4 linked regions of the Arabidopsis thaliana genome follow. The protein of the gene in region 3 interacts with the protein of the main gene of each other region in a biochemical or structural test. Each region holds a gene or a part of one and is shown on either strand. Other genes may lie near its edges. The genes, in order: SOS2, PHYA, NDPK2 and MPK3.

Evidence for each region.
Region 1: the proteins of NDPK2 (region 3) and SOS2 form a complex in vitro, tested with the Arabidopsis thaliana proteins (one study listed by BioGRID).
Region 2: the proteins of NDPK2 (region 3) and PHYA form a complex in vitro, tested with the Arabidopsis thaliana proteins (2 studies listed by BioGRID).
Region 4: the proteins of NDPK2 (region 3) and MPK3 form a complex in vitro, tested with the Arabidopsis thaliana proteins (one study listed by BioGRID).

Annotation. Positions count from the first base shown.
Region 1 is NC_003076.8:13,630,857-13,639,621, reverse strand, and holds SOS2 (Protein kinase superfamily protein), read right to left. Parts: upstream 5,224-8,765; 5' UTR 5,005-5,223; intron 4,707-5,004; 5' UTR 4,690-4,706; coding exon 4,525-4,689; intron 4,439-4,524; coding exon 4,376-4,438; intron 4,278-4,375; coding exon 4,206-4,277; intron 4,121-4,205; coding exon 4,013-4,120; intron 3,916-4,012; coding exon 3,841-3,915; intron 3,773-3,840; coding exon 3,593-3,772; intron 3,469-3,592; coding exon 3,379-3,468; intron 3,276-3,378; coding exon 3,153-3,275; intron 2,642-3,152; coding exon 2,522-2,641; intron 2,294-2,521; coding exon 2,177-2,293; coding exon of another isoform or gene 2,162-2,176; exon of another isoform or gene 1,959-2,161; coding exon 1,902-1,958; intron 1,815-1,901; coding exon 1,740-1,814; intron 1,656-1,739; coding exon 1,560-1,655; 3' UTR 1,247-1,559; downstream 1-1,246. UniProt on the Arabidopsis thaliana protein: Involved in the regulatory pathway for the control of intracellular Na(+) and K(+) homeostasis and salt tolerance.
Region 2 is NC_003070.9:3,093,426-3,102,807, forward strand, and holds PHYA (phytochrome A), read right to left. Parts: upstream 6,406-9,382; 5' UTR 6,003-6,405; coding exon 5,998-6,002; intron 5,799-5,997; coding exon 3,733-5,798; intron 3,535-3,732; coding exon 2,718-3,534; intron 2,648-2,717; coding exon 2,357-2,647; intron 2,275-2,356; coding exon 2,073-2,274; 3' UTR 1,778-2,072; downstream 1-1,777. Other genes in the region: GLP5 (germin-like protein 5), read left to right, coding at 471-585, 670-1,214; AT1G09575 (calcium uniporter-like protein (DUF607)), read right to left, coding at 8,426-8,923, 9,027-9,382. UniProt on the Arabidopsis thaliana protein: Regulatory photoreceptor which exists in two forms that are reversibly interconvertible by light: the Pr form that absorbs maximally in the red region of the spectrum and the Pfr form that absorbs maximally in the far-red region.
Region 3 is NC_003076.8:25,370,351-25,377,082, reverse strand, and holds NDPK2 (nucleoside diphosphate kinase 2), read left to right. Parts: upstream 1-3,178; 5' UTR 3,179-3,244; coding exon 3,245-3,484; intron 3,485-3,664; coding exon 3,665-3,721; intron 3,722-3,866; coding exon 3,867-3,953; intron 3,954-4,173; coding exon 4,174-4,254; intron 4,255-4,348; coding exon 4,349-4,461; intron 4,462-4,550; coding exon 4,551-4,600; intron 4,601-4,893; coding exon 4,894-4,961; 3' UTR 4,962-5,179; downstream 5,180-6,732. Other genes in the region: NPX1 (nuclear protein X1), read left to right, coding at 261-331, 498-570, 655-738, 828-952, 1,050-1,116, 1,209-1,339, 1,429-2,670; AT5G63300 (Ribosomal protein S21 family protein), read right to left, coding at 5,308-5,961; AT5G63290 (Radical SAM superfamily protein), read left to right, coding at 6,189-6,732. UniProt on the Arabidopsis thaliana protein: Major role in the synthesis of nucleoside triphosphates other than ATP. The ATP gamma phosphate is transferred to the NDP beta phosphate via a ping-pong mechanism, using a phosphorylated active-site intermediate. May activate MPK3 and MPK6.
Region 4 is NC_003074.8:16,753,279-16,760,422, reverse strand, and holds MPK3 (mitogen-activated protein kinase 3), read right to left. Parts: upstream 3,853-7,144; 5' UTR 3,831-3,852; coding exon of another isoform or gene 3,639-3,830; 5' UTR 3,506-3,638; coding exon 3,348-3,505; intron 3,265-3,347; coding exon 3,135-3,264; intron 3,047-3,134; coding exon 2,909-3,046; intron 2,808-2,908; coding exon 2,475-2,807; intron 2,383-2,474; coding exon 2,199-2,382; intron 2,117-2,198; coding exon 1,947-2,116; 3' UTR 1,549-1,946; downstream 1-1,548. Other genes in the region: NAXT1 (nitrate excretion transporter1), read right to left, coding at 1-75, 152-669, 753-970, 1,071-1,170; AT3G45645 (uncharacterized protein), read left to right, coding at 3,639-3,830. UniProt on the Arabidopsis thaliana protein: Involved in oxidative stress-mediated signaling cascade (such as ozone). Involved in the innate immune MAP kinase signaling cascade (MEKK1, MKK4/MKK5 and MPK3/MPK6) downstream of bacterial flagellin receptor FLS2.

The sequences.
Region 1 (8,765 bases), about 12 Mb from region 3:
GTAATTATGATGCGTCGCATCATGAAGGAGCTGGAGCCTCAGGACTTGGTTGGATAATTCGTGATTCCAATGGCTTTGTGTTGGACTGTGGTATGGGACAATTTGAAGGACGAAATACGATAGAAGAAGCTGAATGTACATCACTTATCTGGGCAATACAGGCTGCGTGGGGATTAGGATACCGAAACGTAATATTCGAAGGGGATAATAAAACCATCAACCAAGTTATTAATACGTACGGTGCTCATCTTCGACTCAAACACTACATGGGGACAATACAACATTGGAGAAGTGGTTTCATAAACTCGAAATTCTGTTTCACCCATCGTGAACAAAATGCCTGTGCCGATCTATTAGCGAAAAAAGCTATTTTAGGTCCAAATCTCTGGTCTTTTGTATCATTCTTGTCCTGTATTTTTGATGTCTCTTGTAAACAATGATTATGACACTCGTCACTAATAAAGGTTTTAGAAGGAAAAAAAAAAATGAATATCAAAATCAACAAAAAACCATAACCAAAATTTTTTCCAACAATTTTAAAAACAAAAACCCATGCATGTATGTTCATCTAGTTTTTAAAAAAATAATACAAGTGTATATACTGTACTTTGTATATATTATCAAAATGCATGCAAAGATATGAAGATAAAATAGTATAATATTAGATATTTAGAAAGAAATCAATGTACCCCCTTATGCTTTAAGGGACTCATATTTATAATTTACATTAATTTGTTAATTAATGTACTAAGCGCTCTTAAAAGTGTTCGCTTTGATTCTCTAATCAATGTTGTAACGTCTTCATTTGAATTCCTTTGAACCCTTCATGGGCCTCCGAATGCTCGGCCCGTTACCCATTCTCAAACTCATCTCCTTTTCGCTCCGTTGTACAAACTCTTCGGTTCGCTCGGCTTCAACTATGGGCTTCGGTCGAGAGCATGTCCCGTTGACCGTTGTCTTGTTGACTTTTAGGTGGCAAGCTTCGGATGGATCCGAACACATAGTTCGAGATTCGACACCAACAAAAATAACGATATTAATTTGAGTATTAGATTGAGACTTGTGTTATGTATGAATTGATGTTTGTGTTATGAAATGATATTACATGTATCATGATCATATGAGTTAGCGACTTTAAAAATCAAGGTTTATATAGTAAAATATAACCAAAAAGAACCATAATTTAGTTTAATTAATTTGGGTAGAATTTCTCTAATCCCAAAAAAAAACCCGACAAAACCCTATCGAAAGAATCCAAACCAAATGCTCTGCCTAGCTTAAACTCGTATAGTCTTGACTAAATAAAGGCATAAAGCTCATGTAGTCTAGTAAGCAAACTCATATTGGATGTGTTTTGTTAGTACATGTCTTCGCAGGACAAGTTTTGAGAAGTATTGCCATACACAGAGAACAGAGGGATCCAAACCAATGGCCAAAGCAAACTACAAGACACAATCAAATTAGAATACTAGCTCAAGAAGCAAATCTTCCAATCTCCCTGAAGAATAATTAGGTCATTTATTACACAAGTGTACATTTTTATTGGATTTAAGTTGGGATCAAAACGTGATTGTTCTGAGAATCTCTGACTTTGGTATTCCTTCTGTTGCCCTCCATATTATGTTTTCCAGTTTCGAACATAGCTTCTTGTAGAACTGCGATACCACAAAACAAAATATCACTCTAATCCGCAACACAGTAATGATGCAACTATTGTTATTGGATATATATTTATAAACCTTGTGATATTCAAGAGTTTCACCAGCAGCCTTTCTTACGTCTACCATGAAAAGCGATGGTGCCACCTCGTAAATCTGCATGTAGGTTAATTTCAATTTGCTAGATACCCTTAAACTGAAGCAAAGCAAACTTATATTACAATCACAACAAGCAATAATTACCTCTATCACAACAGCTAACTGTCCGGCCTTGATCGAAGATAATCCCTCGAGCCTTGTCTGTTGAGCACATAGACGTAACAAATCATAACAATTGTACTCTCTGCTAACATTAAAAATGATAATTCACACTAGGACTTTCGTTTTTGAACGCCAGAGATATAAACTAAGTTTCCTTGTCAATCTTATCAATCTATCTACACATGCGTTTAACAGTTGAGAGTTTTAAAATAATGCATAATCTCTGTGATAAGTGTAATATGCTAGGAATTCGTTACCTTGAAGTTTCGTGTATGAGACTTAAAACCCATTGAGTTCGCTACAGCCTCAATGTTAGCAATTATCTCACTAGGTTCCCTTCGAGAAACAAAACGGGTTTGCCTTTTAACAAAATCCTGCGAGATCAAAGGATCAGCCATCAATATGCAGGAACATTTTGGATTCCATTTGTATCTACTAATGCCATGCAACCAATCATCTAATGAACTTATAGTTATTATAACAAACTAAGAACACAGCATCATAAGGCAGTCAAAACGGGCAGTCTGAAGAATAGATGCTACCGACATTCTTTTATTCGAAATGGAGATCTCTATGACCAGTAATAGAAAATCAGGTACTACCTGTCGCCTGTCAAATAGTGCAGATAAATTTAAGCCTTGTGATAAGGTAATCATCTCAAAGGCATTCATCATCAGGGGCCCTTCATCATTTCTCTCTACATTCTCCGCTACATAACTGCCCTGTGAACAAGTGCAATTGACAGGTCAACTTAATGAAAAACAAGTAAAAGTAACTTTAGCTAAGACAGATACTGAGGTTTTAGTTTAACAATTGAAGTACAAGTTTTAGAAGAGCAAGAGCCTGAGTTTAAGTAAAACATTCTAAATATGCATTAGAAATTACGGTATCTATATATATCTAGGCTATACCAAAGCTAAGACAATCTTAGCAGGAGATATATATTGATAGGTACATGAACATTGTAATTAGCCCTAGGGGTATTCTGGATTTTGTCTAGGGTTTTTGGTCGAGAATAGAGAATTCTCTTGTAAATCTAAGTCTTCCTAAGGTCTATGGTTTGGCGAATTGAATAAAGAAGCAGTTTACAGGTTTGGTAACTAACACATGCCTACTATTTTGTTCTATCCTGTAGCAAACACTTCTTCTTGGTCATCCAAACGTTCCTAAGAGATCTTAACATTTAAATGGAATTGACCAGCAAAGAGCATATAATGAAGGCGAAGCACAAACCTCAATTCCATCAAAAACTGCACGAATATCATCCAAATTCACTTCTTCTTCTTCCCTTGCTCGTATAGGCACATAATTTAATCTGAACCAAGGATCTTTCTTGATTCCTTGAATTTGAATACGCTGCTCTAATTGAGAAACAATAATAGATAAACAGATATAATTACTAGAACATTAAATATCACCAAAACCTGATAGCTAGGAGAGAACAAAGCAAAATACTCACTGTTTTGGGATTGGGGTCAAGTATCCTATGTATTAAAAACTTCACTTCTGCGGAAAACCACGGTGGACAAGAAAACTCTGCTGCATTTATCTGTAAATAACAATGTGTAAAAGCTCAAAACTAAGGGTGAAATTGCAAAACCAAATCAATAAACGGTTTGACAAAAGCCATGACAAGGAATTCATGATTTCTTCCCGAAAGATATGTTACTTACTTTTCTGTACAACCCTGGAAGATCCGTCTCGGAAAAAGGTAAATATCCAGCCAATATAACGAAAAGAATAACCCCGCAAGACCAAATATCAGCTGCTGAACCATCGTAACCCTGTCCACTAAGTACCTCTGGAGCTACATAGTTCGGAGTTCCACATGTGGTACGCAGAAGTTCTACTCCCTGATTGAGTATATAACAAGTTAATGACCACGTAAGCAGACTGCTGAAGCAGAGATAAGAGCACTTACTTCCTGAGGCAATGCACTGAGTCCGAAATCCGAAACCTTCAGATTTCCATTTGTATCGAGTAAAAGATTTTCTGGCTAGATAACATAACATAGCGACACAAAAATATCAAGTCTGGATTGCAACGCAGTGAGATATTCTGAGGAATATTGGTAAACAAAAACACGTCTTTACCTTTAGGTCACGGTGGTAAACACCCTTGCAGTGACAATGAGCAACAGCATCTACAAGCTGTTGAAAGTATTTCCGAGACTCACTTTCTTCAAGCCTCCCTTTATGAACCTGCATGAAAGATTTCATATATTAAAAAATTAAGTAGAGAGGTTTTAACTAATGGACGCTGCCTACAAGTATGGAAGTTCCGTACAATTCTATCAAAGAGCTCTCCTCCTGTCACAAACTCCAAAACTATATATATTTTCGAAGGACTCGCCAACACCTACATCGGGAAAATCACAAAAAAACAACAGAAGAACAATGATGCAAAAACACTTCAGAGATAAAATTTCGCAGATGCATGGAAACAAACAAACATACCTCATACAACCTCACTATGTTCGGGTGACGAACAATCTTCATTATAGATATCTCTCTTTTTATCTGTAAAAGAGCTTTAAACGAAATCAAAGATCATACCATTGACGCAACAACCTTAGTTTCCATGTAAAAAACAATCCAGAACATACCTGATCAACCATTCTGTTCTTAAGTATTGTACTCTTAGCCATAATTTTGATGGCTACATTATCACCAGTGTCTGTGTTCCTCGCAAACTTAACCTTAGCAAAGGTTCCTTCACCTATTGTGCGACCAACCTCGTACTTGCCCACTCTTCTCATTTTCTTTGTCATTCTTTACAAACTTTTATCTGATCCATTGACCACAAGCTATCAATCAGATTATTCAGAGACTTAGTAAAAACCTCTTTCCTTAAACGTTTATGATTTCGATTTCAATTACTTTACGTATTGTTTGCTAATTTTAGCTCCTACACATCCATATATACAAAATTACTCTGTATCCATAATTTTGATTTCGCAGCATAAATCAACATAAATTCGATCAAGGAAACGACGAAAAGGTAAGGATCAAGATCATAATCAATATATAAAATTCGTACGGCTGGAATTGCGATTGGGCGTAGTCGAAAGAGAATCGTGAAATACCAGAATTGGATTCGCAGAGAAGGGTTGATGAAAGAGGCGTAGGAGAGAAGGAAGGCTCGTGATGCGATTCGCGAAAGCCGTGAATCGTCGATGCGAACGTCCGTGCAGATCCGTTGAGCATTTCGGGTCGGGTTATTTGACTGTACCCGTATACGACCTGAATTAGTCGTTCGGGTCAATTATCCGTTTGGGTGATTAAACTTTTAAAAACTAACATTGCATTTTGAATCTTTCAATTTAATAATTGTGAGGTTTTCAAAATTTAAAAAAGAAAAAAAAAACTAATCTAATATCACTTATCAATTTAGTAAATTATTTTTAAAAAATAAACATATAGTATTTTCAAAATTTATTTTAATTTTTTTCAAATTATCTAGACTATGATTAATCGAACTCAAATTAGTAAAATTTTCTATTTTTAACTACAAATTTTTAACTTCATTTAAGTCAAGCAAGGTTCAAAAAAACCAAGAGAACAAGGATGTCTAAGTTTAAGACAAAGCATACAAAGATACTTTCCAATGCTACAAAGTGATATATAAAAAAGTTCGATAAGGATTCGTGAGAGTTTGGAAACAAACACTAGGGAAAAATTTGGCGTAAGTGATAACACGGTTTATCGACGGTTCATTCACAAAGCAATGGTCAAAAAGATGGTCACGGTCAATATACTAGGTGATGTTGAAGAGGCTTTTATGGCCTAGATTTTCGCCGGCACGAGAAGAGCTTCATCAACAAGGAAGAGGACTATGGTTCTATAGTCGGTTGGGATTTGCTTTAAAGGTTCAAGATCTTTTTTAAAAAGTTTGAAAACTTCTTGATAGTCCTATAGTCGGTTGGGATTCACATTAAATGTTCAAAAATCATACATACAAAGTAACGATGACAATGTCAATGAAAAATTGGCAATGAAGATGATAAGAAGGAATACAAGAGCAAGAAAATAATGAATGTGAAGAGAAATATGAAATGTAGGTGTTGGTGGCTAATTGAATATAAGAAAAAATATTGATAAGAATGAAAAAGTATTACAGTAATATTTTTGCATTATTAAAAATAAAAATAACTATACATTAGTACTTTTGCATTATGTTTTTTTATATAAATAACGTAAATGAAACTTACAAAACAATTCCGTTAAAAAGTTATCAATAGTAATTTTTGATTATTAACTTATGATCATATGTAGGGGTGTCAAAATGGGTCAAAATTCATGGGTCAACTCAACTCAACTCAACCCATGAACCCTAATGAGTTGAAATTTTTGACTCAAATGAGTTGATGAGTCAAATGAGTTGATGAGTCAATTGGTTTGATGAGTAAAATGAGTTAGGTTGTAATGGTTAATGGTTTCCATGGTTTATCCAATTAACCCATCAAATTTTGTAAAATTGAATAAAACCAACTAAAATCTCTAAACCAATGCCAATTTAGGTTTAACCAACACATCTAAACCAATTTAATAAAATTAATATTTTTCCAAATTTCTTAAATATACAAGCAATGAAATTGAGAAAAAGTAAACTCGTAATTTTTCCACCAAAAAACATAAATCCGTGATTTTCCCGCAAAAAAAAGTAAACCCGTGATTTTCTCGCAAAAAACGTAAACCCGAGATTTTCCCGCCAAAAACGTAAACACGAGATTTTCCCGCCAAAAACGTAAACCCGAGATTTTCCCGCCAAAAACGTAAACCCGAGATTTTCCCGCCAAAAACGTAAATCCATAATTTTCTCGCCAAAAACGTAAACCCGTAATTTTCCCACCAAAAACGTAAACCCGAGATTTTCCCGCCAAAAACGTAAATCCATAATTTCCCCGCCAAAAACGTAAACCCGTAATTTTCCCGCCAAAAATGTAAATCCCGTGATTTTCCCGCCAAAAACGTAAACTCGTAATTTTCTCGCCAAAAAACGAAAACCCGTGATTTTCCCGCCAAAAACGTAAACCCGTGATTTTCCCGCCAAAAACGTAAATCCGTGATTTTCTCGCCAAAAACGTAAATCCGTGATTTTCCCGCCAAAAACGTATACCCGAGATTTTCCTGCCAAAAACTTAAACCCGTAATTTTCCCGCCAGAAACGTAAATCCGTAATTTTCCCGCAAAAAACGTAAATCCATGATTTTATCGTCAAAAACGTAAATCCATAAAAAGTGTAATACGTAAATATCCTAAGTTTGATGATAATGAATTAATAATGATAATTATTTATTATGTTTTGTAATAATAATTAATTAAATTATTACTTAAATGGGTTAACCCATTTAACAACTCAACCCATCAAATTAAATGAGTTATGGGTTGACCCAACTCATTTTGTTACCCTAAACTCATTTGATTATAAGTTGAGTTGAGTTGACTTACCCATTTTGACACTCCTAATCATATGTCAATGTATAGCTAATTAGCTACTAAAATGATTACTAAACAAAAAACATATATTAAGACAATCGATAACAACAAACCTCGCATAGCGGGGGTTAATAACCTAGTCTATACTCTTAAAAAAGTCGAGATTATTTGCTTCTTAGAGCATCCACATAGATTTTAAACAACCAATCGAGATTAGCCATCTCGCTAATTAACATTTATTAAATTATTCTTTTTCTATTTTTTAAATTTTTTGTAAAATAGAAAAAAACCAATATATGAAAATAAAAAAAATATTTTAAAATATGGAAAAGTTTCTAAATGTTTTGTCACCAAATAATATAAACATTATCAAAATATAAATTTCTATTTTATTAAATTTATAAACGAAAATAAATAATTTATTATTAGTCTCTCTAAATTTATTAGTGCTTCATAGATAATTACAATCAATATTTAATCACAATAAGTATCTCATTAAATGATATTTTTAAAATTTACGCTTTTTATATTAAAAACAAAATATTGAAAGAAAATGAATTGTAATAAATATGAGAAATGATGACAATATATGGAAGCAAGATGTATATAAATTTAGTTATTATAATACATTAAATAATTCATATTAATCTCACAATTTTGATTAATCTATCCTATTTTTATAAGTGAACAATCCCGATTAATCGAATCACTATTGATATTTTTGACATCACGTTAATTAATATTATTAAATTATATATTATATAGATTAAGATATTTATGAAAGAAAAAAATATATATGTAAAACATAGAAATGTAAACTTTTGGAAAACAATATATGAATATGAAAAGAAAATCTGTAGAAAAAAAAGAATGTAAATTTTTGAAGAACAATATGTGAATACATTAAACTTATATTTTTATTTTGTTAATCTTCATATTTTCCAACAAAAAATATATTCAATTAACCCTATATCTTTTCAATATTAAATAATAACCTGATGCATCTAATTCTATCATATTTTTTAACATTGTAAACTTTGAGCTATCAGTAACGGTTAGGGTTGGTTACTACTTTTCACGGCGTTTCTTTCTATTTATTTTTTTAACTTTTGCAATTGTGAAAACTTATCTCGTTGTCGGTATGTTTCTGCTTTATATCTTCGATAAGTCGTAAAACATGTGTTTTTGTATGATGTTGTTTGCGTAGAATTTTGTGCTCTTTCATATTGGTTATGAATTGTAAGACCTTAATTGAAGTAAATTTTTGGGCATAAAGAAGAAGGAACGGCGACAAAAATACATGTTTTAGTAGCTATACACTCCCAAGTAATTTTTAATTTTGTAGCATTAAAATTTAGACTGAAACCTAAATCCAGTATAAGTGTGAAACTATCAATAATTGAGTGCA
Region 2 (9,382 bases), on a different chromosome or scaffold from region 3:
GTGAGGCATGAACGAGCGTGTTAATATATAATGATTCTTCTCTCACGATGATCAAAATACAGAAGCCAACAAGTAAAATTAGTTTATGCAGATAAGACAACATTTATTACCTGATACATACTTTATTAGGTGATAATAATTGATAATTGTTTTTTATAAGCCACTAATAATTAAATAAAAATAATATCAGTACCGTGTAAAAGCAAAACTAGTGTAAACATAAATTTTCAATTGGCAAAGCTCTGATCCATCCGTTTTAGTAATTCGTTGACCTTTGACATTTCACTTAGACAGATGTGTGCAAGAAAGAAAAACAGCATGTTGCTTGCTTTTTCCCTCAACGAGAAAAGTCACCCTCTCTTCAATTCTTCAATTCTCCTCCCTTTATAAACCATAATTCATTAATTCTCTTCTCTCTCAACAACTACTTGTTTAGAGAGAGTCCCACCACCACCACTACCACAATCCCAATGGCTTCACCAACTCTTACTCTCCTCCTCCTCCTCACCACCGTCTCCTTCTTCATCTCCTCCTCCGCAGATCCTGACATGCTTCAAGATCTCTGCGTCGCTGATCTTCCCTCTGGTACTTGCAAAAACCTTTACTTTCATCTCTTTTCCTAGAAAAAGATTCAATTTCTAATCTCTTTCTTGTTTTTCTTTTTTGCAGGAATCAAAATCAATGGCTTCCCTTGCAAAGACGCAGCTACAGTCACATCAGCCGATTTCTTCTCACAAGGATTAGCTAAACCAGGTCTTACCAACAACACATTCGGTGCCTTAGTCACAGGAGCTAACGTTATGACAATCCCAGGACTCAACACACTTGGTGTCTCCCTCTCTCGTATCGACTACGCACCAGGAGGCTTAAACCCACCTCACACCCACCCACGTGCCACTGAGGTCGTTTTCGTCCTCGAAGGAACACTTGACGTTGGGTTTCTCACTACTGCCAATAAGCTAATCTCTCAATCTCTCAAGAAAGGAGATGTCTTTGCTTTCCCCAAAGGACTTGTCCATTTCCAGAAGAACAATGGTGATGTCCCTGCTTCTGTTATTGCAGCTTTCAATAGTCAGCTTCCTGGAACTCAATCTCTTGGTGCTACTTTGTTTGGTTCTACTCCTCCTGTTCCTGACAACATCTTGGCTCAAGCCTTTCAGACTTCTCCAGGAACTGTTAAACACATCAAATCCAAGTTCCAACCCAAGAAATGATCATCACCCTTCCTTTATATTCATTACTACAGTTCTGTTTTTTTCTAAAGGGAAGATCTTTTTATCTTCTTTGATTTGTCTTCTGTAATAAAAAAGGAACAATAACTGATGATCTTCAGTGTGCATTTGAGCTCCATAGTCTCATGTATTCGTCTTCTTGTATAATCCATATTATTTTTTGTTCAAAGTTGACTAAAGACAGGTAAGAAGTCGAGGTTGATCTAATCTAAAAGCTTTCAAAACAGGTAAGCTAATTTATCTGACTTTTCAGATAAAATAATCAACTTGAGAGACTCTTAACGTATGGGTCTAATAAAACTGATTACTTAATTAACATGATAACTTATTTTTTACTTCACACACCATGTGCTTCTTCTAACAGAAAACTAAGTGTACTTCATATGGCCAGCTAATAGATCTCTGTTAAGTTCGAAGAACTATGTTTGCTTCTTCATGGAGTTGAGCCAAAGCTAATTGTTTGAAACCAAGACTTCTTGCAACATAGTCACGAATCATGCATTACCTCTAATACCTTAAAAGAAGGAGATTATATGAAACTAGATAGAATATTTGTTTGAGTTTCTGCCATTATGATAAACCATGGACCGTAAACATTAGCTCATTTCTCCTATATTACTTATTTTGAATGATACATCATGAAACCAAAACACTCAGGAGGAGATTAGATATGCATCCATATTTACAGCTTCAGAAAAGAGTTCAACAGAAGATGTAAATGGATGGATATTTCATCGTTACTGAAATTTGAAAACGAAAACAAAAGCGATAAGGAAAGTTACAAGCAAAGAACAACCAGTGACTATTTTATATCAAGCCAGACCCCTTTTCTTTTGGGGACTACTTGTTTGCTGCAGCGAGTTCCGCAGTGATAATGAAACTTGATTTCCCAGCTTGTCTCAAGTACTGAACATCTCCATTCATCAGCTTCACCAGTTTCCGGCTAACCATTAAGCTCAATCCTTCTTCTGACACATCTTCCTCAGTCCCAAACATTTGGTTTAGTAAAAACTCAGGTATCCCAGCTCCGGTATGCGTTAACCTGTTTTCATAATCCCAATATCCTCAATGCACTGTTTTTAACATCATATTATGCATTCTGATTATGAATATATCTATTTTACCTGATCTCTAGATTAGCAAGATGCACAGAACGCCCGAGCTGATCCTTCCTCAGGGAAGCTGAAACAGTTAGCTGACCTCCGGATGGTGTAAAGTTTACAGCCATCAGCATGAAATCTGCCAAGACTTGTTGAAGCCTAATACTGTCTCCATACAAAGTGTCAGACATTACTTCTTCTCCGGTCTCATTTGTTATCCGAACACTCTTTCCGTTACTCTTCATCATTACTTGACTTGTGGAAGCAGTCAACACTTCATTTAAGGTGAATTCTTTCATTTCCAAATCCAAGCATCTGCACAGTCAAATTCCAACATAAGAACACAGATAAACCATATTTTAAATGGACTTTCATTCTAGCATACCCTTCAATGATGCTTTCAAGATCCGAATCATCGAGGATCTTGCTTAGTTGCTTCTGACATAACGCGCTAGTTTGCAAAATCCGTCTTTGCTCTGGTCCTAATTCAGTACCCTCTATCATTTTCCTTGTAAACATGATCCCAGATAGCGGATTCCTGATCTGTCTTTTTATGTATGCTAGAGCCTTTAGTCTCTTCACTGCGGTTCGCTCAGCTAAACGTTGAACATGGAGCGCTTGCTGCAGCTCATGGCTGGCAAGTTGCAGGAAACAGAAGACACCTGTCACTACACCTTCCCTGTCCAGTTTCTTACTCACACACAACAGACACTCCACATACTTGCCACCTCTTGTAAAGAAAGCAAACGATACTTTCTCTGGATCTTGACTGGTCACAGCATTGTTCAGCACAATCCCAAGGTTTACAAAGGCTTCTTGATTCTTTAGACGACAACATGACTTCTGCGTCCCAAATACTTCTCCTAAGAGCATTTTGTCAATCACTTCCTCTCGCTTCAAACCGGTTAACTTTGACATTGCTGGATTCCACTCTGTGCACCATCCAAACTCATCGGTACCAAATATTGGCGGGATCAGCGGGTTTGGATTTTGGATGATTGCCTTGTAATCACCTTCAATCCGCGTAAACTTGTCCATCACAGTCTTCTGGCCAGTAAGATCATGGGCTACAAAACACACCCCAACCACGTTTTCATGGAGATCTCTACTTGCGCATGCATTTACAACTAAACTTATTGGCCCAGCATCAGCCCTGGACAGATGTGTCTTGATCTCAAACTGGACATTCTGCTCCTCAGTTCCTGCATAGATAAGCAAGTGAAGTTATAGACTCGGCTTCAGTGTTTGATAAAATTGGAAAACAAAATTCCATCATTAAGAACCAAAAACAACACATTGCATCAAGTTTCTTCGACCACGATACTCAATTGGAACTTGAATAGTGAAATCTAGTTGGAAGATTCTTAGCAAACTCAGCATAACTTAGGAAGAGAGTTTACCTTCTAATGCGTTCTCTAGCATCCTTTTAACGATTTCCACTGAAGAATCTTCAACAAGTGTGAGGAAATGCTTCCCGATTGCTTCATCAACCGAAAGACCAGTCAGCTCAGCAATTTTCGTGTTCCAACCATTAACCAGTCCATCAGAATCAACCGCCAATATTGGCACCGTAGCAGTCTCAATTAAACGAACCATCTCACTGGTCACAGCTTCTAGTTCTTGTATACCATCAATTTTGAGATCATTTAGCTTCGAGTAAATGACCTTTGTATTCACATCAGTAGTTTCACTATCCTTGAAAGCATTCCTCAAAATAAGTTGCAAGGAGTGTATGGCATCCATCTCATAGTCCTTCCAAGGTAAACTCCTTGTCTTGACCACTTCAAGGAAAGCCTTGAACGATGACCTTGGGTGCATTCTCCTTGCATCATCCCTATCATCTGGATCATGCTTCGCACCTCCCCATCTCACTTCACCAGCGGTATGAGAACGGAACCAGAAAATCATGTCTTTCGATGATATCCTCACAGCTGCCATCCCACATACCGAATCCCCGAGAGATAGAGCCCTAGGAAACCCGGCGTCATGCAAACTATCAGTGCTCAAACCCGTTGAATCCATGTGGTATTCACACAACCATGAAGCTATCTCCTGCAGGTGGAACTCACTTGGAGTTGTTCCCAGTTTCCATATCTTGTCTTTATACAAGAGAGCTGCTCCATCACATTTCACAAGGTCCATTATGTTGGGGCTTTGCGACACAATACCCAGTGGAGCATCACGCATCAGCATATCGCACAAGAGTGTCTGCGTGCGCAAAATGTTCTTCTCCACCATCTGGTTATCGAGTTCCACCTCCTTATTGACGTGTATGGCAAACACTTGAGCTAGAAACTCACAGGCATACCTGAGAGGAAATGGAACAAACCTCGGAGTCGTATTGTGACAAACCACTAAACCCCATAGTCTCTTTCTCTTTTGAGGCTGTGTAGTAGCATCAGGAGCATCCCCTTCTCCATCTTCCTCGTTAACTACAACCGCCATAACCAGAGATGCAATTGAATCCATGTTGGCCATGTACTGCAAATGGCAGCTGTGCGGTGCTCTAAGGGTGGAGCCACACAAGGTAAGGTCAAAGGAAAGCTTTTCATCTTGAAGCACCCTAGCATGTTTTGCATTGCAATCAACTATCATCCGGACCTTGTTCTTCATAAACAGAAAACGGGCTGCTTGAGGGATGTCGGTGGCAGGATAATGCAGCCCAAGATAAGGCTCCAGCCCAGGTTTTGTAACCTCGGAGACAACCTCACCGTGATCATCTTCATGAAACTTATAAGCCATCACCCTGTCATACCCCGTGAGTTCAAAAACCTCTTGAACCATTGTATCACAAAGCCTTTCCATACTCCCGCTGGGTAAAGATTGCAGCCTAGTGATTGCTTTGGCAGCGAGCTTGTATGATTGTAAGGCACCAGCAGCTGTCATGGGGACTTCATAAGGCTTCACGGGTTCAAAGTCGATGATGATGCTCCCTGTAACCCTGTGGATAATCGCATAAAAGGGCTTTGCAGAAGTCCTGCAGTGCACAAGAATGGGATTCAAAAGAGAGACATCTCCAAATCCAAGGGCTTTCTGCAATGCAGACGCACTAGGAGCAGTGAAAAGACTCCTTATATCTGTCCCAATGCCTAGAACAGGGTGTTCGCCAACACTAGGAACTGCATGACTGGCCATTGTCAACAGCTCAGATGCATTCTCGCTGTATGCAATAACTTTGAAGGTCTTCTCATCCAAGGCAAGTAAACAACCGAAGGGCTGAATCAGCTTTCCCTTCTGTATATGATGAAGATAAGTCGTGGTAACTTTGTCAGACCTTGGTGGCTGATTCTCCACAACCGGGCCAGTGACACGCACTGAGGTTGAGTAATCAAAGGAGCTGCCTGACTCCTCAAAATCAGCATGGAGTTTCGCATCTACAGTGGTCTGCGCAATGATCCTAGCGCTGTGCCTTGATCGCCTTGAGCCCTCAGAGGACTGAGTCGGCCTAGAGCCTGACATTTTTTTCCTGACACAGAGACAAGACAACAAAAAATAAGTGCAAAACTCTGATAAAAGAGGGAATAAAACATTCATGCCATAATCATATGAACACAAAAACATTCATCACCAGTCATACAAGCGAATGCATAAGCATAAACTTGAAACACTAAGAACCAATTCAGAATTTCAAACACACAGTAAAAAGAGTTATGAACTTGACTAACTCCATCGAGAATACATAGCTAAACCCAGAAACAGGACGCAACAGATGCAGGAATCATCGTGTCATATTCCAAGGTTCAATGATTTATCATTTTCAAAGTAACTGAACCAGTCAGATTCCATGAACACTTCCTTTCTAAGTCATCCTACAATCCAAAATCAACAACATCTTGACTATGAACAAGTCGCACAAATAATAGTTGATAGTTAACAGGGTAAATCCACTACACAAATACTAACAAAACGAGGATCTGAGCTAATATCAGCCTCTCAAGATTCAAACACAGCTACATACATAAAGTAGACTCAATAATAAACTCTTAAGAGTCTTTATAGCTAGCTATACCTTTCAAAAGGAACAATAAAGTCCCCACAGGGAAAGCAATCGTAGGAGTTAAAAGCGATAAAAGGATGAGATTAATTAATTGGATGCTTCTTCTCATAAATGATCACACACTATAAAAAGTTGAGTAAAACAAACACACATCAAGCCAGATCGAAAGAGACCTACAAAACCTTTATATCGCAGAAAACAAGAGGGTATTGATGACAACAGAGGATAGCTTTAAGAAATTAACTTCAAAGTTAGAATCAATTTCAGTAAGAAGAGTGAGACCAGTAGCTAGCTGGTAAGCTCCCAGCAGAAATCAATCGAAGCAAGCTTCAATATATATAGTTAAAAAAAGAAAAAAAAGGAGGAAACTTTGGGAAAAGGAAAGTAGGTACCTTTAAAGAGAAGAAAGAAGAAGAAGAAGTTTCAAGAAGCCATGATCAGATCTTGTGACTAGTCACACTCGTCAGAGGCTTTTTGTTATAGTTAAATTCTAAATCTTGGCCTCGATCACCACCTTCTCTCTTGTGCTACGCCTCTCTATTATTTGTGCTCCCTAACACAGACGACGACGATGAATGGGACCACCCCGAATACGTATGCCCATGTCTCGGAGTATGGGCGATTTGTATATTTTATAATGGAATAAAATAAAAGAAGAAAAAAGCTTAATTTGGATAAAAGACAAACTTCACACACATATCAAGAACAGGGTCGGCTTCGCCGGTAACATTTTCCTCGCTAAAACAGAACAGTGGGCTTAAGATATATCAAGTACTACTACTTGTAAATCTTGGCAACTTTCTGGGGAATATTAATTGATATTTTCACCGATGTGACTAAGACTGTGTAATGAGGAAAAAAGAAGTAAAGTGGAAGAAGAACAAAATGGGGTTGATTCTTATAAATCCGATTGAAGAGAATCGTCCAAAGGATAAGAGATCAAAAGTAAAAAAAAAAAAAAAGATTATTAATAAAATAAAAAAACGAGAAAGAGAGAGAGAAAGAAAGATGGTGGTAGTTGTTTAATGAAGGCAGTAACCAGAAGTAGAAAGTTGGGTTTTGAGGAAGACGACAACGATAGTCTTATGGGCTTCACGTTTTCTCGGCTTTTTGCGTTTTGTAATCTGTTTCTGGGATTTACTTCAAAGTTGGGACTTTCCTTTTTTGTATTTTTTTTTATCGTTGAAAGAAAGTAATAAAATTTGTAAAACTAATTTAAGTTTATTCGAAGAATTTAAATTTGTTTTATTTTTTATATAAAAAGGGTAAAAAAATCGTTATTAAGGTTTTATTTTTTTTTCGTCAAACAAAATCCATATCGTTTTAACATCATTGTCAAACTTCGATTCGTTCTTATCGCAAATCCACGTTACCATGTTTTCTTAGGTATTTTGCTTCTATCCTCTTAAAGTTAAATCTCCCCCTAAGTTTTTTGCAGTAAATCTCCGGAGAAGATCGAATCGACAACGTCTTATCTAGACAGCGCAATTCAGCATAGATATTGTGGCACAGCTATGTTGGACCAAAAATGTGCCTCCATAATGCAAATGTTGTCCTAGCAACACAGTATCATCCATTAGACATAGTCATGGCCCATGTTGCACATATCTGAATTGGCAAAAGGTACTAATCCCATTTCAGGAATAACACTTTGAAGAACAAAACAAATATGAGCTTAGGAGACTTCTTAATGGCCGGCCAAGAACGCTTCAATCACTAGGGATGTGATGGTTTGGAACTTTAAGGCGCCCTTTGAGAGCTATTTCATTTTCACTCTTTTGATATTGAACTCTCAAAACAACTGTTCATTACCATGTGTTTTCTCGGTTTTTAATGTGTGTATTTGTGTGAAACAAGGCCAATAATCTATATACGAAAATAAAGAAAATGGTTCTTTACACCAAAACTTCCGTATTAAAAAGAACATTTAAAATCTGTTATCGTCACTGTAATAAACAATGTCAATGGTTACTTATGTATAAGAAGTAGAAGAAGATGACGGAAAACAATCTTTGTCACTCTTTTGCAAGGACTGATCATCTTCTTCTTCAGTTTGATGAACCACCGGAGGACATGAAGAAAGTTTTTCATAATAATCAGTCCCTGCGACTCTGCAAAGCATCCTCGAGATCAAGTTCTAATCCAACACGATTCCTTATAGACGCAGCTGCATGACAAGACGACGTCATTTTAAATAACCTCTCCAATTCCTTAAACCTCTCGCAGTCAAACTTATGACTCTTCAACAACTTCCTCTGTCTCGACAAGAAGAGCCTCTTCATGAAATCCTGATATGTCGGATCTCTCGAAGTCATCAAGAAATAAGCATAACCCACAATGATTCCAGTCGCTGTAGCGAAGAAAGTGATTGGTTCCATCACATCCCATGAGAATTCCCAGAAAGTTAATCTAAAAAAGAGTCCAATTTGAACCATCGAAGTAGCTAAACCACACCAAAGAATCTTCCTCACTTGTCTATGAGCCAAAACATCAATCTCTTCTTTCATGATTCTCAATTTGTTGAATTCTTCCTTGATTTGATCTTCCTCTGGATTCTGGTCCAAAGGCATCGCTCTTCTAATCAGATCCACCACCTGAACAAAACAAAAAAGTCCAGATTTTTAGAGAAATCGAGACAAAACAGAGTAAAGTGAGACAAAACAGAGTAAAGTTCTGTTTTTGTGTTCTAATTAAGACCTTGTCTGGGTGAAGATAGACTTTATCACGAAAGATCAAGACAACGCCAGCATCGTCAAGAACACGAGCAAAGACATGAGCTTCATCGGGAGATCTAGCGATACCCATTCCTTGAGAAGCTTCTAAAAGTGTAGAGTAAGAGACAACATCTCTATCAGCCACACCAACAAGCTTCTTCTTCATGTCTTCAACATTCACAAGCCTCATTAGCTTCTTCGCTTCCGCTATAGTTATCTCTTTCTTCTTCTCCTCTTCATCCTCCGACGGTGTTTTGACGGTGACGCAGCTTCTTAATCCACCGTGACCAAGCCATGTCCTTTGCGAAGAAGCTCTAATGGCATTGGACATTGCCGTAC
Region 3 (6,732 bases):
TGGACTCCTGAGTCTTGTTTTGTAATTTGAGCCTACGTCGTGTCCCATATTATCTTTTCGATGCTTTTTCTCTGCTCTAGTAAGTGTGGTTATTCCCTTGCTATAGAGGATATTATAGTTAGTTTCTGTGGTTATCGTTTATGACGAATGAATTAAGTTCTTACATTGTGGTTTGGCAAACTGTAGAATTGATTCCTTTGCTTTATTTTTACTCATAGGAAGTGCTTTTTATACTGATGTGTTCTGTGATTATCTTTCAGATTCTGATTCTTGTAGTTCCTCTGGGAGTGAAACAGATTCTATTAAAGCTTCAAAACCCACAAGTAGAGAGGTATATCTAACAGTGGAATAACTTATGTTATGGAGTCTCTGTGTTTGGATGTTGCTCTAATTTCTGCAAGATTTTTCATTTACTCACCAATATTTCCATGGACTATTTGCAATCATAAAAGTGAAATTACTACAGAAAAATAAGTATAGTCTCCTCTTTAATTTAGGAAAAAAAGCAACCAGGAGTTGGTATAGACAAAAAAGAGGATGATAGCAACAGTGAGAAGATAGTTGTAAATGGTTAGTCTCTTTATAATTGATGTATGCAAGTTGGAGTGCTCGGATATAGAAGTCTTCCCGACACTCATTCTTTGTTCTCTGTAGATTCTTTGAATGAATTGGATCAACTTGAGCATACTGTTGGGGAAAAGTCAACCACCATGGATGCAGTAGTTCTCGTTCCAGATGGTAAGAAATGAAAGTTAAGGAAGGTTGGAGATGGTAATAGATGTTTATTTTCAGATCATGAGTTTACCTGTCATGCTTTGGTATTATAGAGGAGACTGCTCCACCTGAGAGGCAAATTTCCCCAGATTCCCCAGATAAGCGTTACCGCGCGGCTTTCTTGAAGAATCGTTTTGCTGATACCATTATGAAAGCTCGAGAGAAGGCTTTTACCAAGGTTGAATTTTTAAGTGTCCGATCTACTGTGTTGACGAAAAAGCTCGCCTGAACTTGTGGATTGTTTTAATCAAAAAATTTAATGCATCAAATTTCAGGGTGAAAAAGGGGATCCTGAAAAATTGAGGATAGAAAGAGAGGAGTTTGAAAAACGGCTACGGGAAGGTTGGATTGTAGTGCATTCGAGTGTGCTTATGTACCCATAATTCCTAACTAAATACTTTTATTTTTAATTCTTGCGATTTCCGTTTGATTAGAAAAAGAACGGTTACAAGCCGAGGCCAAAGCAGCTGAGGAGGCTCGGAGAAAAGCCAAAGCAGAAGCCGCAGAAAAAGCGAGGAGGGAAAGAGAGCAAGAGAGAGAAGCTGCACGTCAAGCTTTACAAAAGGTATAAAAGACTTTTCGAGTTTCTCTTCTATTATTCAGAGCCCTACCATGGTGTACAATCATGATAAATGACTTTCTGGTCTGTTGCAGATGGAAAAGACAGTGGAGATAAACGAGGGCATACGGTTTATGGAAGACCTCCAGATGCTTAGAGCTACAGGTACAGAAGGTGATCAATTACCGACTTCCATGGAAGTGATGAGTCCCAAGTTTAGTGAGGATATGTTGGGTTTGGGTAGTTTCAAGATGGAAAGCAACAGTAATCCATTAGAACATCTAGGTCTGTATATGAAAATGGATGAGGATGAGGATGAAGAAGAAGACCCGCCACACTTTAGCCAGAGAAAAGTAGAAGACAATCCCTTTGACAGAAGTGAAAAACAGGAACATAGTCCTCACAGAGTAGAAGGAGAGGATCAACTCGTTAGCGGAAATGAAGAGCCGGTGAGCCAAGAGGCACATGATAATGGGGACCAAGAAGATGGAAAACCCATAAACCCAAATGAAATAGAACGACAACTGGAGAATATGCCAGAGCAAGAAAGTGGAGTTGGTGACAAGGAAGAGCAAGAAACTGAAGTTGTCGATATGAGAAAGCAAGAAAATGAAGTTGTTGATATGGGAGTGGAAGAAGTACATCCCCTTGACCGAAGTGAAGGGCGTACACTCAGTCCTCACAGAAAAGAGAGAGAGGACCCACGTGCTAGCGGTAATGAAGAATCGGTAAGCGAAAAGGCACAAGATTATGAGAACCAAAGAGATGAAAAAATCAATCAAAGCGAGAGAGAAGAACAATTGGAGAATGTGCTAGAGCAAGAAAGTAGTAGAGATGATGATACAGGAGAGCAAGAAACTGAAGTTGTCGGAGTAGGAAAAGAACTTTCCCTTGACAAAAGTGAAGGACAAACACTTAGTCCTCACAGAGAAGAGGGAGAGAACCAACTCGATTGTGGAAACGAAGAACTGGTAAGCCAAAAGACACAAGATAATGGGAACCAAGAAGATGAAAAATCCATCAATAAAATTGAAGGAGAAGAACAATTGGCGAATGTGCCAGAGCAAGAAAGTAGAGTTACTGAAAAAGAAGAACAAGAAACTGGAGTTGTCGACTTGGGAGAGCAAAAAAGCGAAGTTGTCGAAAAGGGGGTAGAAGAAAATGAAGCTGTTGACAATGGTGAGGGAGTGCAAGGAACTGAAGTTTCGGACAAGGGAGGAAACGAAACTGTAGTTGATGGCAATGGAAAGGTAGAAACCGAAGTTGTGGACAAGGCAGGGCAAAAAACTGACCTTGTTGACCAGGGAGAGGAAGATATAGATGTAGAAATTGATTGATGAAGTCTTTTTTCCGGGTCTTGTTAAAAGCAACAAGATGAAAAGAAAAAGTTGGGGATGTTTACGCATTGATTCTTCTATGCACAAAATGTAAATTTGATGTGGCGTGAAATGGCTAAAGCAAGCAAAAGAAAGGCAAAGCCAGATACATCTAGAAGACAAGACGATGAGTCTGTATTGCCTATTTTTCAACGTGACTCTGTTGACAATGATTCTAAATCGACGAAAAAAGAAAAAGAAAAAAACAATTTTGCTACAAGAAAGATGGTTTGGTTTGGTATTAAAGCAGCAAATTGTGCGACTGTTGAAATGTGCAGACTTTTGTTTTTTTTAATCTTTTAGAAGAGTAAACTGTACAGGGAAAGAGAAAGAGTCTGTTTCCTCCATTTAAACGAGACACTCTTTGTACTCGAGATCACTTTTTAAATTACTTCTGAGCACTGATACTTTTTGATTGATCAACTAAACCCAAATTATCTTCGCTTCTGGATAAAGGGTATTTATGTCAATTAACTTTGTTCTTATAAGATGATGATGCGAAGACACTGAGAGAAGCTAAGACAAAGCGCAGAAAATGGTGGGAGCGACTGTAGTTAGTAAATGGACTCCCCTATGTGTGGCTTCGCCGCCGGAGAGAAACTCGGCAAGTCTCAATCCACACTGTTCTCCAGCCAGGGTTAATTTTAGAACAGCGTTGGCCGCATTTCGTCCTCAGTTCCGTCTTTTCTCTCGCAATTCCGCGTCTCGCCGCCGTCTTCGCGCTTCCAGCTCCGCCGAATCGGGAATCTTCCTTCCTCACCTTGTAGCTTCTATGGTTTGTGTGCTTCCCCTCCATTTATGCGAATTACTTTGTTTTCTTAGTACTTACATTGATTAAACTCCGAAATCAGGAATTTAGGATTCAAATTAGTTTGGATATATTCTAATTTGATGAATCTCAATGCAATTTAGTGACCTTTTGATTGTTCTTACGTTGTTTTCTGTATTGTTTCAGGAGGACGTTGAGGAGACTTACATTATGGTGAAACCTGATGGCATACAACGAGGCCTTGTAAGCGTTTTTGCTTTTCATTTTTTTTCTTCTTCTGATTTTGAGGTTAAATTATGTATCTTGGAACTCTATGGAGCTTTGAATGTTATTTCATTACACTATCTTGGCTTAAATTATGAATGTATGATTCATTTGATGTTCTTAGGTAGGAGAAATCATTTCTCGCTTTGAGAAAAAGGGGTTTAAACTTATTGGGCTCAAGATGTTTCAGTGCCCAAAAGAATTGGCTGAGGTTTGACACTCACTCATTACATCAGTAGTTTGATAACTTTAGATTGCTTCTTAATGTGATATAACTAATAAATCATTGACAAGTATCGAGAAATTGAAGCCTGATCATGACTTGCATATTTCACTTATTCGCTACATTTGCGTAAGATGACGCTGCCTCATTTTTTTTTCATATTCGATTGACATAATTAATATTCTTGTGTGTTTATCTCAATTGCCAGGAGCATTATAAGGATCTTAGTGCTAAATCATTCTTTCCTAACCTGATTGAGTACATCACTTCAGGTCCAGTTGTGTGTATGGTATGGGTATAACTATGCTCTAATTTGATTTTTACTTGTTTTCAAGTTGTAATTAGATGAGTTAATTGCATGTGATGTTTTAAACCTGGTAAAGGCTTGGGAAGGTGTTGGTGTTGTTGCTTCAGCCAGGAAGCTAATAGGGAAAACAGATCCGCTTCAAGCTGAACCTGGTACTATAAGAGGAGATCTTGCTGTGCAAACCGGAAGGTTGGACTTCTATCATCTTTAAAATTGTTGGAAGTAAGCACTTAAAATAATTCTCATGGTTTGATATTTTTAAATTATGCAATTTGCAGGAACATTGTGCATGGTAGTGACAGCCCTGAAAACGGCAAGCGTGAGATTGGTGAGATTTCTTGTTTTTTGTTCAAATCATTCACCCATCTTTCATTGTTGAGACATTGACTATGTCCAGTTTAGGGGCAAATCAACGTGGTTCAAACTGCTTCAAATTAACTTGATAACATAACTAGATTAGATCATACTTGATTACTGAAATTGTTAGGTTCAATATATCTGTTTTAAACCATTACTATCACTTCTTCATTTACTTAGTTTGACCAATCACTCTCATTCCTTAGTATGCTAAACTTTTAGTTTTCATTTGCTGACATTTTGGCTCTTGTGGTTGTGGCATAGGTCTGTGGTTCAAAGAGGGCGAGCTATGCAAGTGGGATTCGGCTCTAGCTACATGGCTAAGGGAGTGATCCTTGAGAAGACAGAGTCAATTATAATGGTGTCCTTACTTGTTTTCTTGTTACCGATGATGAGCTTTGGTGTTTTGTTCCTGATTTTGGGCGGCAATATAATATAACTGCCAATCTATGGCTTGATTCTTCTCATATCTGTGATCACTTGTCATGTAATCAAAACTAGTTACAGATTCATCTGCATTTGGTTCTACGTTACAGACACCTCCAAAATCATTCATCTTCACTCTACACCGAGCAATGAAAATTTTCTAATCTCAAGCTAAAAGAACATACAAAAGAGTGGCTTTACAAAACGCAGATGCTGCGTGATTAAGATTGCTCAGATCAGTGTACCGGAATATCATTCCGGTTTACTTCTAAGACCGGTTGGTATATGGAATCTCAATGTCCTCAGGAGGAAGTTCCCAGTGATCGTCTTGTTCGTCTTCTCTGGATGCATTTCTGTTGTGCTTGCGGATCTCTGAAGTTGATAGTGGTTTTGGTTTAGGGTTTGGTCTCCTGTAAAATCAAAATCTATTGACTCAACTTCTCCAAGTGTTTTTCGAAAGAAAGAAGAAAAAGTGAAAAAAAAATCTGACCTTTTCCGATACTTCTTCGCAGCTTCTTTGGTCTTCCGCGTCTTCTTCTCCAGAGAGCTCTCGAAGAAGCGTCGTCTTCGAGATTCCTGCAACACACCCGCTCTGAAACACGACCTCTTGAAATCGTTAACCAGCTGCTCCTCCGATTCGCCGTCTTTAGGCACCACCTCGACGTTGTAGTAACTGGACTTGAAGAATACGAGATTCGCGTTCGCCAGCGAAGGATACGCCACTCGATTGATGACGTCATCGTGCTCGGCCGTTAAAATCTTCGTCGTCATCGACAAATGCTGTGACGTTCTCGCGGATACGGAAGACGGAAGCGTGATAGGTTTCAGACTCGACGGAGACGGTGGTTTCGACGAGAGAAGGGAAGAGAGAAGCTCCGAGAGAGAGACTATCGATTCTAGCGCCATTTTTTTTTCCGTCTGAATAAGTGAATAATCGTTTCATTCTTATTATAATATTTTTCAATTGTAATTAGTGTGTTAATTAGATGGTCAAGTCTTTAGTGAGTCTACTTTCTGACTAAAACGACGACGTTGAAGCATATAAAACGAGACCAGTGAACTTTGATCTTTGAAAGCTTTCTCTCTTCGTCTCTCTGGCTCTCTTTCTTTTTCTCTCGTTTTATTTGGTAATTATGCTGAAAACAACGATTTCTCCAATTTTCTCATCGTTTACAGGTAAACCCAAGTGCTCATCGAAGTTGTTTTTTCGAGCTTTTAGTAAGGTTGTTCTACAAGATACTCCACCAAGTGCTCGACGAAATGCGTCAACCAATCTTACTACGTTACACAAAGGTCCACCAACCTCAGCCTACGTTCATCTTCCGTTTTGTCGCAAACGCTGTCATTATTGTGACTTTCCTATCTTAGCTCTAGGCATGTCTTCTTCTTCAGCCAGACCGTCTAATGTCTACGAGGAAGGAAAAGAAGATGACCCGAGAATCACGAACTATGTGAATTTGCTTGTTAGAGAGATAAAAGCGACAAGGACGGATTTTGATACGAACCCGAATCTAGAAACGGTGTTTTTCGGTGGTGGGACGCCTTCTCTTGTTCCTCCGAAGCTTGTTTCTTTGATTCTGGAAACATTGAGTTTGAATTTCGGGCTGAGTCCAGATGCTGAGATATCAATGGAGATGGATCCAGGCACGTTTGATGGTCAGAAGCTGAAGGATTTGA
Region 4 (7,144 bases), on a different chromosome or scaffold from region 3:
AGTCTCCATGGATTGCGAATTGTGCCATCTGGTTTTACCTCGTCTTCCTGTTTCAATGCTGCACGGTTAAAGAACCTGCGTATTTGAAAACTCATTAGAACGGCCTCTCAGTGCAAGAATGAAACTGCGGTTTTCGAGCCGGTTTTTCTACCTGAAACTCTTTGTGGGCATTGTGATTGATTCATTGTGGTAGTCTTTTTCGTTGGTGGAAACCACAGCTTTTCTTTTGCGTAATGCTGCGAAAATGACGCATAGTAGACTTGTGAAGGGACTTCCCAAAGGCTTGTCATGCTTGTAGAATCTTTTCCCCGAGACGAAAACCAAAAAACTGAAGAAATTAGCGGCTACAGACAGACCAAACCCAAGGGTCCAGCTGATATTGTCTTCGGTGTAGACAATGGCGGTTGCACTTATAGCTCCGGCTAGATATGTTGTGAAGAAAAACCAGTTGAAAAAGCTTCCTTGGTCTTTAGTTTTTTCATACTGGTTCGCACCAGCAGTTGCTAATGTGAACCGTGTCCCACCTGTTCCTATAGAGGCTAGAGTTATGGCCGTGTAAAGGACTCCGAGCTGGGTTTTCGAAGGAGACTGGCATAGTATTGAAGCTGTTTCGCAGGGTCTAGGTCTTAAAGTGTCAAGTGAAGCAGTTAGAGTCAGTAGAGCTACACCCTGGTCAAGAGTAGAATTAGTGAATTTCTGTTTCAGAGAGAAACTGATAAAAACAAATGTCAAGGACTCTTTATTAACTTTACCATAAGAGAAATGAAAGCTGAAACTGAGATAACAGGAATGGTTCCAAAGAAAGAGTCAGATGCAATGGCTGCAACAGCTGGAACCATACAGATACAACCACTAACAATATTAGCAATCTGAGCCGCTGCAATGCTCTTCACGTTGAATTCCTCGATCAGGTAGACGATCAAGTTAAGTAACCAACCCCACGCAGCTATTGTCAAGCCTAACAACGTAGCTGCACCATAGAAAGATAAGATAAATTCAACTTCTTCTTCCAAGCTCTAATGGTTATGAAGTTATGAGAAATATAAAAACAGAGAAACAGAATCTCTCACCTATCATAAACGGAAAGGTAATCCAACCTCCACCACGGCGTTTGGTGCTTGAATCTGCTGATATCGCTGTTTCTGCATCGCCAGTAACTGAACTAGCCATGTCTCAAAATCAAGCAGAAATCTTTCACTATTTTTGTCAACAATGGCCTGAAATTCTGAAACATATATACAGTATAAGTAATAATACAGCAATGATGACTTTCTCGGGTCCACGATATTTTATTCTCCATGCGCAGCAGCTTCAAATAAAGAAACATTAAGAAAGTAAAACAAAAACTCAAAGGTTTCCGTTGATGCAAGTTGAGCCATCACTGTCTGCTTCGTAACAGCCTGTGTGAAGACAACATTATTTCCAACCCAACGTTTTAGAAGTCAACTCTAAATTGTCAGACAAAGGATATTACAATATTACTAAAGAAAGACACATTTGTGCCTAATTATTGCTAAGGAATTGACCATTTCTACTTCAATAATGCAAGCTACCTAAAGCCAATCCCACTAAAATCTATTGAAAGTCATTGAATGAGAATAGACAACTCACGGCGACAGCATTGACTCTGGCTCTAGCTCTATAATGTCTCCCACAAATATTGAGGCTCTGTACATTACAAAATTATATTCTCTCTTCTCTTTGTTTACTAGGGAAGACTCAAGAGTATGTGAAGTAAAAAAGTCTATAGATATTCTTTAATAACTGGAGTACTTTACATTGGAGCTACACTTAATCACTAGCAGTAAATAACATGAACAAACAAATAAAAGTTACAAGATTACATATGTGGAAGAAGTACATGAATAAAAGAACAGGCAAAGATACTAAGTAGCCATTCGGATGGTTATTGGGTAATACCAGGCATTCACGGGGCTGCTGCACTTCTAACCGTATGTTGGATTGAGTGCTATGGCTTCTTGGTAGATCATCTCTTTTATCTGTTCCTCATCCAGAGGCTGTTGTTCGAACTCAAAAGAGAATGGCTTTTGACAGATTGGCTCATCATTCGGGTCGTGCAATTTAGCAAGGTACTGGTGATTCAGAGCTTGTTCAACTGCACAAGATGGTATTTTCAGTTTTTAATCAAAACATAGTGATGGTAAGAAAAACCAACAGAGAACATGTATGAAACTTACCAGTGATTCTTCTGTTGGGGTCAAACGTCAACATTCTGTCAACAAGATCAATGGCCATTGGGTTAACATGAGAGAAAAGTTTAGCTAAGGGCTGACGTGGGAAGTTGGGAAGTTGCCGGATGTATCTTTTCGCATCCTCATTGTGAGTAAAACCGAGATCAGATTCTGTCGGTGTGCCAAGCAACTGCAAGATTCAAACAAATTCATCACATATTCCGTGAAAAGGCAGAATCTTTAAACCATGCTAAAATTACATAACTCTCTAAAATATTTTACCTCTGTCAATAAGCGCATTTGATGAACATGGTCTTTACCAGGGAACAAAGGCTTTCTATTCATAAGCTCCATAAAGATACAACCAACAGACCAAACATCAATAGCAGCTGTGTAATCTGAAGAGTTCAACAGAAGCTCAGGTGCTCTATACCATCTCGTAACAACATACTCAGTCATAAAATCATTCTCTGAAGTAGGTCTAGCAAGACCGAAATCACAAATCTTTAAATCGCAATTCGCGTTCAACAGAAGATTGCTCGGCTTTAAATCCCTATGAATAATGTTAGCTGAGTGGATATACTTCAGTCCTCGAAGTAGCTGGTACAAGAAGTACTGTTTCCATGACAACAAAAACACCAAATCAAGTATCAGTTTCATGTCTCTTCTATCAAATATAAATCCCAGAAAAAAGCCAAGAACAGTTTTTAGTTTACCTGACAGTGTTCTTCTGATAAACTCTGGTTAGATCTGATGATTTGATGAAGATCAGTATCCATTAATTCAGTAGAGATATAAACATCACTGAACTGTCTTCTTAGTGGTGGTGGAACAACATCTCTTATAGCTATAATCTGTTGCAATACCAAATCAAAAAACCCTAATCATGATTTATTTACTAATTTCTACAGATATTTCACAAAATCGAACAAAAACACTAACGTTTTCATGATCAAGATGACGAAGAAGCTTGATCTCACGAAGCGTACGCTTAGCATCCATATGATTATCAAAAGCATTAGCTATCTTCTTCATCGCTACTAGCTCGTTCGTCTCCGTATCCAACACAGAGCTTCACAAAATCAAAATCCAGAAATTAAAAACTCCGATCTCAAAGAATAAAACTTAAGAAAAAGCTCAGAGAAGGAAACATACCAAACGATTCCATAAGCTCCACGACCAATTGGTATAATCGGAGGACGATACTTAGATGTGATCTCGAATAAACTACCGAAGATATCGTAACTTATGAACTGTCCTCCGTGAGTTTCCACCGCCGGAAAATCCGTGTATTGGCCACCGCCGGTGTTCATTTCTCTCTCAATTGATCAAAGTCGAGATTCAGTGGTTGCTTTGAGGTTTGAAGTAGTGAATCTGAAGGTATTTGTATGGTTTTATATAACAGTCGGAGTCAACAGAGAGACTGAGATTGAGGATTGAGCAGAGATGAGTTTTCGCGGTAATTGCGAGGAAGAAGATGAAGAAGAAGAAGAAGAGAGAAGAGGGAAAGGCAGAGAAGATCGTGTGGTTGAGATTAGAGCCGCCTCAAATCGACGGTTTCTGTTCGTTGTTGACTTCGTCAACGTTCTTCCTCTTCCTAACGTCCTTTACGGTTCTGTATCTATCTATCTGCCATAGTTAAATAATGACAATAATAGTGTGGGGATTTTAGTAATTGTAATCTTAATTGGATCATATTCGTTTTAATACGATCAATAAATTAATTAATATACTCGTTTTATTCGTTCAGGAATTAAAATTTTGTATTGTTTTACGTTACGTAAAATTATATAACACTCGTTTTAAGTATTGTATTTTATGCGATTAATTTATTATAAGTATTGAATATCATGTGTGGTTTACGATGGTTAATAATATTATTATTATATAGACTAAATTAGTTTAAAAACAAAAGATACTATTCAATTATGATTTTTAAGTAAGCTATTTTCGATCAGAATTTTTTTATTCTCTTCTTTCTCTAAAATTTTGAGAAAAAGAAAAAATTCTTTGTTTCGTATGCCTTCCCGTATGTTTGTGAGGTTGTGTTCGGACATGGTCCAACTTTTTGTTTCAATACCGTACGGTGAGTTCTAGTTATAGTTACCGGTAAATCCGGTTTTATCGTCGCCGTTCTTTGGTATTTTGCCTTTATTTGTCTTTATTTCTAATAAACTTATTAAGTTTCTTCATTACGAAGAAAAAGTGGAAGTTTAAGAGTTTCGGCTTCATAAGCCTTGTCGTTCAAATTTTGTAGTAGTTTCACTTGATGGGCATGGCGACGTTAAGTCTCACCGGAAAATCTTTTTGGTTGCTTACGTCATTGTGATGCTTCATGCTACTTTGGAATGGTGGACGCTTTCCTTCATATGAAAGAAAGTTTCGTTCGTTTGTTAAATCTGAGTTTAATTTCGTTTGGAAGAGGAAGACTAGATGTGCAATTTCTTTAGAGGGTCTTCAGTGCTCTACTTGAAGCTTCTGGTTTTGCGGAGTGAACGAACTTTCGGTGGGTAGGCGTTCTTCGATCTCAGAAAACATGCCGGCAGTGGTTGGCATTCTCGACAAACACGTTCTTCTCGTCACGTGTCTGTGATTTCCTCATGAGGCGACACATGTCTCTGTGTTGTATGGCTTTCTTATCCCTTCCTCGATGGGTTACTATATTGGGCTCGGTTTGACTTTTGTTGTTGGACTTTTGTTTTAAGAAGGCTTTGTTTTAAGAAGAAAGAGATAGCAAAATAGGCAAAATCTCTATTTGCGCAAATTGGTTTTGGAGTTGAGAAGCGGATCTTTGTGGTTACTTTTCGTTAGGATATCTGTGTAAGAGGGCCTTGCAGAAGTTTTGGATTGATTGGATTGCACTCATGGCTCCATCAGATCGCGTGTTAAGTGTAAAGGTTCCCCGAATGGGGATTAAGTGAGAGATTCAGTTTCTCCCTTTTTAGTATCTTATTTTCTTTTGAGATTTCTGTAAGATTTACTCTTTCAATAGTTCATTGTTAGTTTACAAATTTGATTCGTCTTTTACCGACCAACATATACCATTTCATTTCCAATGAAAGCAGACAAGATAAAGCAGAACTTGCAGATTATGAAAATGTTCAATTCTGAGTAGATGAAAATTAAAGGAGATTATCTATATGTGTTTGATAATTTAATATCGTAATGCTCATTAGCCTATCGAATTCTGTAAGTGGAGTTTTCCACTATTGTAACACTTTGTTGTTATATATCAAAGCCAACACTTATGAAGAAAAAAAAGTAAGCTATTTTCGAGTTCGAACAAGATATTAATATTTAGTTTACAAATTCCTCTAAATAATCGTATGCGCTATATAATTTATGTTCCAACATTATCGTTAAAAATATTGATTTTGTTATGAAATTTATTTAAGTTAGAGTTCTATTTATGTTAAGGAATAACGATGCATCGTTAAACTTCACTGGATTATAACCTTCTAAAACTATTCCAAAGTCATCTAAAAGTGATTTCAAATACTTAACCTTATCAAAACAATGATTGTTTAAATTAGTTCTAAACTTTAAATCGAGTACTTCCTAGATGGACAAACGAAAATCATTAGGTACGGGCAAAATCGAAAGCTTATAAAGAGCTTCCAAATGCATGTGGATGATATTTCCCTTATGAACACTCTTTTGAAAAGAATGGCCTAGTCGTTTATTCCATTGTTCATCTGTAGAACGTTTAAAAGCTTGAAACTTGTGGACTGTTCAAAGGTTTTGAAGCAAGTCTCCATTGCAACAACTTAAAATGAGTTCTTCTTTGTTACATAAACTAATGATGCATGAGTGTGTTCTATCACTTTGTTACTTTTTCAGCTTAAAATAGTTTATCCCATATTCTTTTGCTTATTACTTTTTTTAGCTGTATTTTATTTTGAACATTGAGTTACTCTTAGATACAAAGATATATATGAAGGATAGTATTCGTGTATGTTTATGTTTTAATTTACGAGTAAAATATTTTCTGAAGTCACATGTTTGAGTTTTGTTGTGTACAGTATTCTTATTTGTAATTTGTTCTTAATCCGGTACTTAGATCATCATAATTTATAGAAAAATAATTATTTTGATGAAATTTCATTGTATTAGACGATTAGTTTTATAAAACTTGTAACTAAATTTCTAAATTTTTAGATTTATTTCCACATGATTTCTGAAAATATCGGATATGTAGAAGAACAAAAATTAAAATATAATCATTGGGTTGAAATAAAACCACCACCAAATTAAATCAGTCTTTAACCGACGCCAACCAAAAATAATCGAACCGGAGATAGTGGCAGATCCGTAATAAACTAATAATCTAAGGGCATAGTTAATTCTTCTTATTAGGCAATCGTGGATCTAGAAGCGGCCAAAATCTCAGCCATCCAATCTCTCTCACTTGTTGTCTCTTGCAATCTCCCACTTCTCTCAATCTTCTTCATCTTCCACAATCTCCGATCGAATCTCTCTACTCAGCCGTATGTTTTCACTTCTCTCGTAATTGACTCTTTCATGTTGGGATTTGAATCGCCGAATCTCAAAACCCTAATTCTGGTGTTTCGATTTTAGTTCCGGAGTAGTTATTGAGATCAACGTGTTTACTGATTCCGATTGTATGTAGAAATCTCATGGAGATTTTGGATTGTCGTCGATATGTTTTTTTTTCGATTGTACTGTTTCGTTGACGCGTCTCTTATTGAACCGTCGCGTCCCATGCACGGATTCATTATGGACTTTGGCTTGTTAGATTCTCGATTTCGATCTGAAAGTTTGATACTTTGGATTAGTTTAAGATTTGCTAACTCAATTTTATTGGATTAGTGTATAATATTAGTTTCTTTGATCGGGAAGATGTTCAATTTGAACTGTTATTAGTAAAACTGTCGATCTTTTTATTCTGTGCCACTATACACGAATGTTGCTGAATTACTAAAGTTTAGGTA